Linked DNA regions of Rhinolophus ferrumequinum. The protein of the gene in region 1 purifies or fractionates together with the protein of each later gene. This does not show direct contact. Links are inferred from orthologs where the notes say so. Each region holds a gene or a part of one and is shown in the gene's direction. Other genes may lie near its edges.

What was found.
Region 2: the proteins of KPNA1 (region 1) and NCBP1 purify together in Homo sapiens (co-immunoprecipitation; 3 studies listed by BioGRID and IntAct, with this or other methods). This does not show direct contact. The link is inferred for Rhinolophus ferrumequinum from reciprocal best matches to the Homo sapiens genes KPNA1 and NCBP1.

Annotation. Positions count from the first base shown.
Region 1 is NC_046285.1:47,275,983-47,283,244, reverse strand, and holds the start of KPNA1 (importin subunit alpha-5), read left to right. Parts: upstream 1-4,170; 5' UTR 4,171-4,367; intron 4,368-7,262. UniProt on the Homo sapiens protein: Functions in nuclear protein import as an adapter protein for nuclear receptor KPNB1. Binds specifically and directly to substrates containing either a simple or bipartite NLS motif.
Region 2 is NC_046295.1:54,149,031-54,156,519, forward strand, and holds the start of NCBP1 (nuclear cap-binding protein subunit 1), read left to right. Parts: upstream 1-4,396; 5' UTR 4,397-4,640; coding exon 4,641-4,674; intron 4,675-5,045; exon of another isoform or gene 5,046-5,123; intron 5,124-7,489. Other genes in the region: TSTD2 (thiosulfate sulfurtransferase/rhodanese-like domain-containing protein 2), read right to left, coding at 229-542, 1,083-1,247. UniProt on the Homo sapiens protein: Component of the cap-binding complex (CBC), which binds cotranscriptionally to the 5'-cap of pre-mRNAs and is involved in various processes such as pre-mRNA splicing, translation regulation, nonsense-mediated mRNA decay, RNA-mediated gene silencing (RNAi) by microRNAs (miRNAs) and mRNA export.

The DNA of each region.
Region 1 (7,262 bases):
GATAATTCCAATCTTATATTAAATCTTCTAGAGAACAGACATAGAAGGAATACTCCCCCCAAAATTTTCAGGGCTAGTTCAACCTTGATACCAAAGATAGACAACAGTATAAAATACAGACATAAAATACAACAGGAAAAACAATAGACATTCATTTATGTAAATACACATAGATGCACAAATCCTAATCAAAATATTAAATATAATTTATCTCTATATAAATAAATCATGGTCAATTTGGGTTTATCTCAGAAATTCAAGGATAACTTAACTTTAGAAAAATCTATTAATGTAAATCACCATGTAGTTACAGCCAACTCTTGAACAACATGAGATTTAGGAGGGGTGGCAACCTCCGCACAGTCAAAAATCAGCATATAATTTCTAACTCCCCAAAGACTTAAGTTGTCCCTCGGTAACCATGGTGGAGGTAGGTTCCAGGACCCCCACGGATACCAAAATCCTGGGATGCTGAAGTCCCCTATATAAAATGTCATAGATCAATGTACACAGTTCACCCTCTGCATCCGCGGACTCCCAGCTGCGTATGGAAAACAGAACAGGTATTTATTGAAAAAAGAAAGTCTGCACATAAGTGGACTGCGCAATTCAAGCAGTTGTTGTTCAACTACATATTAAATGGTATGCTCATTTCCATATATATAGAGAAAAGTTATTTGATAAACAATTTATAAAAGATTCTGTACCAAAAACTTAGAGCAAACATCATATTTTATGTTAAAACATTAGAACGATTCCCTACAAAATCAGGATGAGACAAAGGATGCTTCCTATTCCACTTAAATTTAGCAAATGAATTAGAGCTTCTGTCAAAGACAGTAAAAGAAGAACAAACCAAAAAAAAAAGACTGAAAATAGAGAAATGAAAATGTCATTAATCACAGGATATATGACTGTCTATAGAAAAATCCAAGAAAATCTGAAGACAAGTTATTAGAATTAATAAAAGCATTCTCCAAGGTTCTACATGGAAGTTACACATAAATCAATTTCATTCCTATGCATGAGAAACAGTAAATGTGACATTTTTTACCATTACAATAGCAACAGCAAAAAAAAAAATAAGGTAACTAGACATAAATTTAACAAAAGACGTATAAAAACTTCATGAAAAAAATTACAAAACATCACTGAAAGGCATTAAAGAAGACCTAAATAAATGGAGAGGTATACTATCTCCTCATCCAGAGGAAGACAATATAATAGAGATGGCTATTCTTCAAAAATTAATCATATCAATTCAATGAAATTTCAATCAAAATCATGCCAGATTTTCTTCATAGAAATTGATGGAGTTATTATAAAATTTATATTTAATAAAAAGGCCAAAGAAAAGCAAAGGCAATTTTAGAGAATAATAACAAAGTGAAGGTGATTTGATCTATAACATATCATGACTTATACAACTACAGTAATTCAGATGTGTTATTGGTGCAGGGATAGACCAAAAAAAGCTGAGTAAAATAGAAACCTCCAAAACAGACCTGCGCTAATGTGGAAATTTGAGAATATAGGTATCTTGAATGTATATATCTCAAAATAGATACGTAACTCTATATATTGAATATATATAAAATAAAGTTGATAACTATGTATATTCAAGATACATATATATCTTGTTTACATATTATATATACTATATAAATTATATAAATATACATAAATATTCTGTGATATTTATGATGCACATTTTCACATTGCAGGTTTTATGGTGTCAATATATTTATGGTACATTTCAAAATTTCCTGCAAATATTTGCAATGAGAAGCTAAGTACCATTTAAAAGTCAGAATTTATGTGATAAAAAATACAATTGATTTCTTATTCAAGTTTTCACGTTCAGGTCAAAACTGCTATTTTATGCTTGCAGTTTTGCTCACTGGATCTTTTCATTTTTCTGAGTGTCATGTAACTATCTATATGTATACTTTTCTCAATATAGAGCCCTGAATATGTGTATTTATATGAATGACAGAGGTAAAATTGCAGATCACTGGGAAAACAATGGACCAACCTCAATAAGTGGTTTTGGACAACAGGTTAAGGAAATGGAAAACAAATTTGGATCATGTCCTAGTTTGGGTTCCCTAGAAGCAGAGCCTGAGATGGGGATTCTTGTTCACTCTTGAGCCACTCTTCTCAATAAGTGACTTATTGAGGAAGCACTCTCAGGGAATATGGGGTTAGGGGAAAGCTTCAGTCTGATTCCAGGGGGAAGTTCTAGAGCACAAATTGTACCATTAGAGTAAGTCCCATTCTGTAGCAAGGGTTGTCCCTTTGAACTCTGTCAATTACTGGACTACACCTGTCCTTGGGGATGGGAGTGGGAGCCTTCTAGAAAGCTGGCTCCTTTGGGGTCTGCAATTCAGAGAAGGGGGCAGCTGACAGTTATCAGCCAGCACTCACAGCAGGTAAGGGAATGGCTATACTGGCTAGATGAAGAGGATCCATCTGGCCAGTACAGGTGGGAAAGAGTGACCAGCCATCCTGATTTGCCCGACCTTCTGGGATTTAGCACCAAAATTCTCACATCCTGGGCAGCCTTCCCAGCACTCACGCCAAAAATCTTGGTCTTCTTGTAATGGGTGTGGGAGATTAGGGGAAAAGTACAAAATCCATGACTGCCCCCTCAAAATAGGGGCTGAAAGCAACACTGCTTTTAATGTCGAATGGACACACCATAGATTGACTTCTATCTATAGTCACCATCATTGTTTTTGTCCCCGACCATTGATGTTGATAACCCTGAGTTGCATTTCACAATTATGATAATTGTTGTAGCGTTCTGAGGGAGGTGACCTAAGTGTGCAATTTAAGTGCACTGCAGTCGTAAGCATTAGCAGTCCATCTTTGGCTTTGCCTGTGGATTAATCGTTGTGCTTCGTATAAACTGAATTTTTTAGCATCATGAATACGGTAACCATGCCTTATAAGAGGTAAGATAATGAGAATGAGAATGATTATAATACCAACAACAGCATGACCCAAACATCATTGAAAAAGAAATATAAATGACTGTGTAATGTTAATGAGAGATGGAAGGACAATATAACTAGATTAGGAAGGAAAAAACAGAACACACTGCACAATACGTAGAGAAGTATTTTGGATTGGGCATGGTGGAGAGGGGATGTGAAAGCCCCTGTAAATCAGTTTACAACTCTGGAATGAGACAGACAGTACTTTAAATTCAAAAGTTTTTTAGTTTCCTCAAGAGACACCCATGCTCAGTTGAAAATAATGGCTGAATTATCTTGGGCATGTCACATGAACCAATATGCATTATTGTATCATGCCTTGGATTGATCTACGGAAGTGAGAGAGGTTACATTTCCTGATTCAAAAACATGTTCCCTCTAGCTCTAAAGGTAATTTGACTTGAAAAGTGAAGTTTCAAATTGTCTTCAAGATGTCTATTAAGATTTTAATGAAACCACAACACATAAACCAAAGGGTGTTACATCTTGTCCAAAGACAAAGTAGAATTGACTCATTTATCTGCTTTCAGTGCGAATGTTAATTTTGACAAGTTCTATCCAGTCTAAACTTCTTACCAAAGAAAATGAAAGGGTGTCATCTGCTAAACAAACACCTTATACAGAACACTGTTAAAAGAAGGGTGTGGTTTGCTTACCTGTGATACGGAGGTTTTCATAATGAAAGTGTTTGGTCAATTTCAGCGTCCTCAAAATGTACGGAAGAATTTAATGAAATTTTTGACTTTATACAAATGGAAGGAGATAGTTTACTTAAACAAATGCCTAAAAGATGGCTATCATTGTTGCCAGCCATAGAAAAGAAAAGAAAAATATATTAGGTACTAACGGCATTACCGGAAGCTAGATACAGATAGAGATGAGCAAGGGATCGATCCGCCCTGGAAGAGCTTCGACGACAGGTTTTATAGCTTTAACTTCGTAATTCAACCTAAGAAGTACCGTTTAATGGTCACTCCACCCACCACAACTCTACAACCTTTACAATTGACTCCGAACCTCCTCAGCGAGACCTTCTCCTCGACCTCCCACTCTTCAGCTGGTTGGGATAACGGAGAGAGGTTCCACCGAAAGAAGGTTGAAAGACTACATCTCCCGGCAGCCTCTGTATCAGGGCAGCGAAGGGGCGCGCGCAGGCGCGAGGGCCGGCCCCCGTGCGCAGACGCACTGCGAACGCCGGCTGAGCTAGGTCTTGCTGCTGGTTGCGCGGCGGCGGATCGCGAGGCCTGGTGAGCACGGCCAAGGATCTCGCCGGCTCTTCGAGGTTGTGTGCGCGAGGGGTACTGCGGCCGGCGAGCGAGCAAGCGGCTCACCACAGCAGTGGCACGGGGATCGCCCGCCGTTAGCCTGGTGAGTGCGGGGACCCCTGCGGCCCCGGCCCCTCCCCCTCCCGCCGGCGGATCCGGCAGTCCTCGGCGGGACCCGGGAGAGGTCCCGGGGCGTGGGAGGGCGCCGGCCGTGTTCGAGCTCGGGTTCCTGGGCCCGGGCGCTCGCGGCGCGTCGGTGCGTCACTGGCCCGGCTGTCCTAACGGCCGCGCGGCCGGCGGAGTGACTGGGGCGGGCGGCGGGGGGGGGGAGCGCTGATGTGATCGCCATCGGGAACGCCGGTCGAGGCGGGGCGGCGGCGGTGCTGGAAGCGGCGGCGGTGACTGCGGGGCGCCGAGGCAGCGGGGCGGAGAGGAGGCGAGCGCGGAGCCTGCGCTGTGGCCCCGAGCGAGCGGGTGGGGGACGGGGTGCGCAGCGCAGAGTGCTGTGACTGAGGCAGGAAAGAGCAGGGATGGGGGACGTGCGAAAATCCTAAGCCAGGCTGGATGGGACGGTCTGGGAATTCACAAGTTACAGCCGGAGCCGGAGCCGGTGGTTTGGAGGGAGGTGGAGGCGGGGGTGGAGACGTAACGACTGCAGTTTACAGATGTCATAACAACATGGGCCTGAAGCGGCTGACAGGGGTGTGGTAATTATAGGAATGACAGAACTCAGTCTGCACATTGCGTGTGTAAGTGGTGATTCGAGGGAAACAGCGAAGTATTAGAGACAAGGAAACTGGAGGATGGCTGGAGTCAGGGCAGTCGTCATGAAGGAATGTTTAAGGTTTGAATGAAAGCATTTAACATCCCACTTGTAAGTGAAAGATTTCACAAGAATTGATTTTTAAGGTTTAAATTAAAAGTAAACAATTTTGCAGGATTCTTCTGAAACATATTAAATAATATTACTTTTTTCTTTAATAAAACAGTTTCTTCAAAACTTGTTTCTAGCCGATGAAGGATGTTTTTGCTCCCTCTTGTTGCTTTAAGAGTCATTCTTGACATTGTTTTTTCCTCAACTTGTTCTTGTATTTGTGATATTTTGAAAGTAATCCACAGGTTATTCCCCCTCCATTTTAAAGATTGAAGAGATGAAATTTGAACTTTTCAAAGAAAAGTGAAAATGAACTCTCTTGTATTTTTACTGTAATAATTTATTATTGGAAGGGGCGCTTTTATGTGTAATACCTGATTTTAAGTTGGGGGACATGAGCAAAAGTAAAGGAATTAACATTCATTGAGTTCCTTTCCAAGTTTTGTGCTAAATACTTTATATTAAAACATTTAATGCTTACAGTAACTCTGAAGTAGATATTAATTTTTCCTGTTCTACAGATGAAAACTTGGACGATTGCAGAAATAGAACTTACCTAAGGTCATCCAGCTCTTGTTGGAACCAGCCTTAGAACCCAAAGTTACTGCCACTTTTAAAAAATTATTTATCTCCTTTCGTACCTCTTGGTTGTGTTTTCTTTATTTAACCCATTCATTCAGCTAATACTTATGGAGTGATCATGTGCCCCAACACTGGGGATACAAGACATGGTTAAGACACTCTTCCTGTCCTCATATAATTTATAGTGTAGAGGGGAAGACTAACAAATAACGAATGTAAACACTGCATAACACTTCATTTGTCATTATAGTTGAGCAGAAACTGTAAACAACTCTCCTAAATAGCAAAGGAAGTTCAAATAGAATCAGGTAACATAAGCCTTGAGTTTACAGTAGTAGGGAACCAAAACATACATTTATAAAAACCTAGAATAAACTACATGATAGAACTAAATGCCTCATCTGAAGTCAGTATATTTGCATTATGTTATTTTATGTCCTCATGGAAGTTTCTTCACAAAGCTATGATTTAATATTATGTATCTTGACTTCTATCTAGGATTGATACATAAGAAAAGGCAACATGAAACTCTTCATTGCCATCCAAGACACTGTTTCTAATTTTTTTTATTTATTCTTACAGAGTAGAGACTTTGAGACAGTTTTTTTAAGACCCCAGTGATGAGCCTTTTAAAAAAAAAACCAAACAAAAAACAAACGGCTGCTTTTATTACATTGTTTGTGTTTTGTAGGTGTTGGTGTTTCTCTTTACACTTTGGCTGTGAGGAGAGTCAGAGATGTGTCCAATTTTTATAATTTTCCTTAGCCTTAACTATGTTACAATTATACCAGATAGTCTGGAATTGCTCTGTGTTGTTTCCTGGATTATTTTCTTTGTTCCCTGTTGCTATCAATTTTGTTTTTATATTTTCCCTTTTATTTGAAAGTAGGGATTATATCTTATTTTAATTTACAATGTTTTAGGCATAGTGTTTGTTGAATTAATGATGAAGTCTTGATGATTTATGATGTTTGTATTTTATCTCTGTCAGATTGTTTTTAGAAGTATATATGAATACTTTGTATAAAATCAATTAAGACTTTTGTATAAAATCAGTTAAGACTTTGGTCCATGTATGTAAAGATGACTGATCTAGTGATAAAGATAATTCCGTTACTATCTTTGTTTTAAGATTTCTGTACTTTGCAGGGTATTATGAATTCAGCCATAATTATGGAAGAAAACATTGTAAATGGTGAACAATTCAATTAGCTGTTGTGGCTGATTTGTATTCTTGCTGCAGTAAGCAGAAGGTGGCCCTAGGCCACTGAGGGGCCAAATAGAGCCTGCATTAGAAAAGTTTGAGGCCCTGCAGTGAAAGAGCAGGGATGAAGACTGATGGAACAGTACAGTTTTATTTCGTTTTGTTTTATTTAAAGATGTTCCAACTCTACAAAACTGACCTAAGTGATAAAATGGTTCTGACCTAGTGTAGTAGACTAATTGGGACAGTTCTTGAAAGCAGGCAGTAATCCAGAATGTGGATAATGGGGATAATCTCCTTCACGTAACAAGAATAATGCTGCCGTTCATATACAAAGC
Region 2 (7,489 bases), on another chromosome or scaffold:
ATGGTTTCTGAGAAACCTAGCAACACTGCCTGCTGCGTGGGTACGTGGTACTGCGTAGACTATGACCTTCTATTACCCATAGTACATGTTTATCGGCCTAGCTTAGGCCGGTAGAGAAATTCTGTGCCTTTAGGATCTTGCCATTTCAGTGGATGGGTAGTGATAGCCTCATTGTGGCTGGAAAAACATGTTTAAAATTAAACCAAAAGTACAGAATGAAATTCTTACCTTATCAGCTCATCTGGGCTAAAGCAGCTCGTATCAGGGAGCCAAGCGGACATGTCATGGTTTCGAGTGAGGTACTCTATTAGAGGGGTCCTTTTGTCTGCAGATTTAAGACTCTTGGAGGAGCTCATCGTCATAGTCAGCTGCTTTAAAATAGAAGCAGTCTGGTGGCAAATTTCATCAGCATGTTGTGTTGCCACATGTCTATGGATGCTAGTTTGGTCTGTGAAGAGTTGCTGACAGCATTTCCACCATTTTTCTTTACATTCAAAGGAAGGTGCCAGAACTTCTTTGGTTTTGACAAAAAGGGCAAATGCCTGCAATTACACGCCAATGTCACTGTTAAATAACCTTAGGTTTAAGGCTAATGGAAGTCTCAGTGAAATCCCTTCTATTATCTTTCCACAGGGGTTTCCAGTTTTATGTTCTACTATTCTGTAGAACTTCCTGTGAGAGTAACAGTTTTCATAATAACCTTTATACTAGTTGGACCAGATCAGGAGTCTTAGGTAGCAGCTGCCCTAGTGTCTGTTTTCCTTATGACTAGGTCTCCTGGGTTCCTGCGATTCCTCCTGTCACCCTAGGTGGGGAAAGGAACCCAGCCCCTCTGTCTAGGACCGGTCCTCAAGTGCTCCACCAGAAGTGTTCCTGAGCCACACCTGCCTACGATTCTCCTTTGCCTGGCATTGAATTAAGATCACTAGTAATGGCTCTGACTAAACCTTACCTTGAACACGGCAACAGCCTAGTGTCTCACTAACCTTCCACTCCCTGGAGGACAACCTTGATAAGCTACTTCTAGATCTATCTGCGTTAACTACACATGCACAATCCCACAACACCAACAGCAATTTTACCTTTTTCTTTGCGAATGAGTATTTCTTCTTTGTATTGACATCGAGCTCTGCTTTGAGACTACTACTGGGATTGATAACACTTGTGTCTTTTAAATCCAGGTCTGAAAATCGTAAAACACAGGTCTCCAGGTCCTCTCCCTGGTCTGGTGAAGCGGAAGAAGGCATCTGGCTTGGTTGCAAGAATGGAGCAGATTCCTTTCAGTTAACTATCTCCTAGGAAGTGAGCAAGGGAGAAACAACAATGTCCAAGTTTTTGATTACTACTTGAAGTAAACTCAAAGCTAATCAATGATGCAAATGAGCATGGGCCCTGTAGCCCATTCGCTCATTCATTCAACAAATATTTATTTAGCAGGCATTGTTCTTGACACTGGGGATATAGCAATGAATGAAACAGAAAAAGTCTCTGCATTCCAGTGGGGAGAGACAGGAGGTAAACAAATGAATACATTGATTAAAAAATAAGTCAGATGGTAAAAAGGGCTACGGAGACAAATAAGCAGGGTAAGGAACCAGAGTGATAGAGGGGATCTTTAAAACACAGAGAGTAGTCTGAGGCAGTAGCATTTAAGCAGAAACCTGAATTAGGAGGCAAACCATGCAAACATTTAGGGTAAATGATATCAAAAAAGCACAGGTACAATGGAAATCAGCGAAGCTGTGTGCTAGCAACTTCAGTTATAAACACCGTTCTTTTTTGTCCCGTAGATTTTGAGCTGGGCAAATTCCCTTTCGTAGAAGAAATAACTACTGAAACAGCCCCCATTTTAATGAGCCAGAAGAAATATACAAATTGTTACTGTGGCCAGGACTTGTCCAAAGGGACACACTATACAATCAACACACTGCATTCTTGCTTTTATAAAACAAATGTTAACAAGTGACAAAGAGGCAACATAAAACACCAGAAAAGCATGGGCTCTGGATCGCGGTGCAGCTGGGTGCAAATATGTGAACCTGGGCAAGATATTAAACTTCTGAGTTCTACGTCCTTAATTTCTAAAATGCAGATGACAATGTCTACGTTGCAAGGCTGTAGTGAGGACTGGAAAGGACATGTAAAACGTCTGGCACATCCTTAGTTCTCCTACCACTCTTGGCTTATCTCAGACAACACTCTCCCTCAAGTATCCTACTCTGGCCACAGGGCACAAACACGCCATTCCCTCTCCTGCCTCAGTGTCTCCACATACACCTGTCCCACCACCCCAAATTGACCTCCCCTCACTCACAATCCTTTTCAGTTCTTGCTTTAAACTTATATATTCCTAACTATTCTATGTGGGGATTTTGGTATGTGCCCGGCACATAGAAAACAGTACTGCGGCTGCAGGCCTTAATGAAACAGTTCAGGTCCCTGCTCTCTTGTAACTTACATTCCAGTAAGGGACACTAAATAAGTAAACAAATTAAAAAACATGAAAATATCAGTGATAAGAGCTGCTGCTTCTCAATTGCCTTTGGTGGGGCGGATCCTCCATATTGTCCCCAACTTTAAATGTTGAATGACTTTATCTATAGTCACCCTGCAAGTGATCTCATCTACTCCCAAGGACTTAAAAACTTTATTTGCCTCAGAATAACTGTGTAAGGGGAGGGGGATAATATATGTGAAACTAGACTGGCTCTTAGTTGGTAATTGTTGAAGCTGGTTGATAAAGTACATGGAGGTTCATTGTATAATTTTCTCAACTTCTGTAAATATTTGAAACTTCCATTAAAAAAAAGGGAAGCAATCATAAATAAAGGAAAATTTAAGTTAGAATACTATATACTGACTCCAGATTTATATCTCCAGGTGGAGCCCTCTCTCCTGATCTCCAAATTCACACATCCAACTGTCTACTGGATAGCTTCAGCCGGAGGGTTAACAGGCTGTTCAGAGGTAACCGTTCAAAACCAAACTCTTGCTCTTCCCCAGTCTTCCTTACCTCCATAAATGACAATTCTATCCTTCCTGTTACTCAAAAATCTTTGGGCTTCTTCTTGACTCCTTATTCTTTCAACACCATCTTCCAGTCCGTCCGAAAATCTTAGTAACTTTGCTTTTTGAAATACAACCAAATCAGATCACTTCACACCACCTTTACTACAAACTCCGTTCAAGCCACCATCCTTGCCTGACTGAATTATTGCCACAGACTAACTGCCCTCCTCCTGTAGGAGACAGTTACCTTAAAAAATAAGATTAGTCTCCAAAGGCTTCTCAACTTACTCAGATAAGGTCCAAAGTACTTACAAAGCCCCTCCGACCACCGCTCTAATCTCAACTTCTACTACTCTCCCTTTGCCCACCACCTCCGATTGCACTGTTTTCTTTGCCCGTTCTTAGATGGGTCATCGGCACCAAGAAAGCAGGGATTTTCCTTTGTTCACCTCTGCATCCTCAGCATCTAGAACACTGCCTGGCACATAGGAGGTGCTAAATGTCAATATATTTGTTGAATGAACTAAAACATTGGGTAACCAGGGAAGGCTTCATGAAGGACCTGATGTTTGAGCTGGGACCTAAATGACAAGCCATCTATGCAGATTTAGAAGCAGAGATCTCCAGGCAAAAGAAATAGTATCAATTCCTAAAGTGGGAACAAGCTTAACTCATTGGAGGCACCGGAAGAAAGTCCGAGTGGTTGGAGTACAGTGATGAGAGACGAGAACCCTGGAAGTCAGGGTATGAAATCTGCAACGGCAAGTCATGGGAGAACTGGGAACAAAAAGGAGTAACGTCGTCTGATTCTGGATTCGTTCTGAAAGTAGAGCCAGCAGGGTTTAGGGATAGATTGTTATGTAGGAGGTGAAGGAAAAGGAGGAGCCACGAATGACTTCTACCTACATTTTTTAATTAAGCAAGCGGCTGGACGCTGCCGTATATCGAAATTGAGCACCGGTCTGGCCCAACTTCTCCGCCCAGCGTTCCCGAGGAGGCAAAAGCCCCGAAGTGGGAGTAAGATGCGCACGTACCCGCCAGTCCCGATCCTTTCTTACACCTTTCTTCATTGAACCTTCTCCGCCTAATCAGTAACACTGCTCACCACCCTCGAGCCTCCACCCCCACCTTGAGTTTACGTAGCAAAAAAACGCTCGGGACGTCACTTCGCTCCGGAAGTCTTCGAGGATGTGAGCGAAAGGGCCGCCGGGAAAATCATTCCGAGCCCCTGCGGGCGGGTCTGGAGTGGAGGCGGGGACTAGAGCGTCCGTCCTAGACCGCTGCCTCCAGGCGTGGCTCGCAGCCCCGGGCTTCGGTGGGCCGAGGAGGCGGCGCGATCTGCGTGTCCCCGGAAGGACTTACATTGAAAGGTGGGAGAGAGAAGAGGCGGAGGAAGCCCGAGGGGGCGGTGGCGAGCGGCCGGGACGCCCGCGGCCTGAGGAGCTTCTAGCTCTGCCCAACCTGCCGAGCCCACCCGGCCGCCTCCGCTTACGCTTCCGGGAGCCGTCGCGAGCAAGTGCGCCTGCGCGCCGGCCACTCCGCGCGCCTCGCCGCTGTCCTCGGGCCGGCGTCCCCGCGGTTCCTGCGGCGCTTCCCGCCCCACTCGGCTCGTCCGCGCACCGGCGTGCAGCATGTCGCGGCGGCGGCACAGAGACGAGAACGACGGTGAGTGTCCTGGGCCCGGCCGACGAGGCCGCGCCCAGGTGGGTGCCGACGTTTGGCTTCCTTCGTCTTCGAGTCTCGAGGGAAGCCCTTCCCACCCGGGAGCGTTCGGGAGTCGCGGAGGGAAGGGGGGTGGCACCGCGGGAGTGTGGCTGGGCGACTTCTAGAAAGCTCTTACCCCTCGCTCCCGCTCCTTTAGTCGTTGTCCGGTAGGAGGCCTGAGGGGGCCCCAGGCCTCTAACGACCTGTCAGGATTTGGTCCTTGGCACCGCCGAGCAGAGAAGTACGTACTTCTGTGGGTCTGTGCGGCGCCTCTTGGGGACAGTGGCAGGGACCCTCTAGCCTCAGTTTCTCCTTTTGACCCTCCAACTCACCTGGAAAGGGCTCTCCCACACGATTGAAGGAAAGGAACAAAGCCGTGACTGAGAGAGCTGATGAATCGCTTTGTGAGCTCTGCTCCCCTACCGGTCATTGTTGATTTGCCTTCTTTCAAGCTTCAGGGAAAGCTTGTGTGTCTCTTACCCACACCCAAGAGGTCACTGACAAACACATGCGTGTTATGTTAGATTTGCACTGGCCGTAATTGTATTTCCGTCGTGTAAGAGAGTGCTGGGAAACTAACTGGAGAGCTCGCAGAGATTTAGCTCAGGAGTTGCCATGTCCATTTGGATGGTTGTGCTCGTGGGGGTCAGGGTGTTGTCATAAACCAAGAATAATTTTGCTAGTTAAAAGTAGGAAAAGGTGCTTCCACTGCAAAAATCAGTCAAGAACACACATCCACAATAAAAGGAACTAAGAGTCATTCTATTATTAGTATTTTAGTGTATTGTTTGAAAAGAGTGTAGTGTTTAAGAGGCCAGACTGTGGAATTAGGGGGTTTAAGTTCAAAGCCAGACCCTAGCATTTACTTTGTGACCTTGCTCAGGTTCTATCACCTCTTTAAACTTTAGTCTGTAATGTAGAAGTCATATAGAAGGTGATACATACCTCCCCACGGTTTTGTGATGGTTAAGTGAAGTTACGCTTGTAATGAATGGCTCGTGATGATGTTTATTTAATCATCTGTTAATACTTAAGAGGTAAGCATTGGCAGATGTCAATGATGTAAGAAAAATACAGAACAAAAAATTTTAATTGAATTTTCTGCACTAATATTTTTCTCTCCTTGAATGTCGGGGCAGTTAGGGTAGGTAAAACTAAAACAAGTGTATTTAGTTTTAACAACGAAACATCAGATTTCTGTTGGGGCATGTCTTGAAAGGATATTCTAGTCCAGCTTTCTCATCTGACACCTAAAGGTCTAGAATTTTAGTGTAACTGACATGGAGTCACAGCTAGCAGTGCCCAGACACCAGTGAGTGCAAGTTCCAGGGTCCTCTTCACTACCCAGGCATTATGCTTCATGCCTTTTTTTAAAAAAAAGAAACACAGGAGGTTTCTTGTGTACATTTGGGGCACACAAAATACAGTTTTCATATGCTTTGAGTTTGATTAATCAGAAGCTAATACGCTTGAAGTCATCATTTGGTGTTTAAAGAACTTGAGCCTTTTGTTAAAGTTCTTCCATTTTCTTTTCTCACACTTTCTTTTCTCCACTTCTACTTCTCTCTTTTAGAGTATCCCTACAGGGAGAGAAAATGTTTCCAGAGGGCTACCTGGAGAACTGGATTTGAATCTGTAGAAACGCAACTTTTGCTTCGGTTATTGGGATGCTGCTGTAACTTTCTTGGGAGTTACCTTCTTTTAGTACCAGCTGGCAGCTAAATCATTGTCTATTTGGGTCTTGCTGCAGGTACCTCAGAATAAGTAAAAACCAAAAAAGCAAATAAGGAGTTAATTAATCAAAGTTTACTGTGGTGAATGAATAATTTAGTAATGGAAGGGCAATTTATAGTTCCTCTTGGATACTACACTGAATCTGGAACTTTTGTAAATTGCCACAATTTGGGTAATAATTAGCTAGGGTTTACCCTAAACAGTGATCTGAATCAAATATTTTAGATACTTTCCTTTTAGTTGGGCATCTGTTAATTTTTAATTAGAAATATTAGAAGCTTAAATATTATTGAAGGCTATTTTAAAATAGGCTGAATTATTATAATCATAGTTTAATAGATATATCAGAGCATTGCTGGATATTGTCAGCTCTTAGTCAGTCAGTGACTGCCATAACTTTCCATGTGCTTGACTAGATATAATCATTTATTCAACAAATATTCATCAGAGCCAGGCACTGTCCTAACTACTGGCAGTACAGCAATGGACAGTATAAAGATGGAGCCTCCCTTTTACAGACAGGAAACAGTCAAGTAAAATATAGTATAGTATATGGTGATAAGTGTTACAGAGAGAAAGAAAACTGGGTAAAGAGGGTAGAGACTGCTGTGGGGGGGGGGCAGGGAATTACTGTTTTGTATAGGTTGTTCAGGGAAGACCTCCCTGAGAAATGCGTCTGCAGTGGGTAAGGGAGCAAACCCGCCGGCTACATGGGGGAAAGCAGGGGTCTCAGCATAGGGAATCAAAGACCTTAGGGCTAGCAGAATGAGTGAGGCGGAGAGGTAGCAGAGGATCAGCTCGTAGAGGGTAATTTTAAAATTGTATCTGTGTTGAGACGAGTATTTGGGATCCAGGGAGACAGTTAGGATACTATACCAATGGAGTTCCCCGAGAGGTCAATTTATAGACAAGGAAAGGGAAGTGCTAAGTGGAAATTAATGTGCATGAATGCTGGTTCAGTGCTAAATCTAACTTATTTCTTAGAACCTCTTTTAAGAATGTTTCCGCAGCTTTTCAGTTATTATAGAATATGCATAGGGCA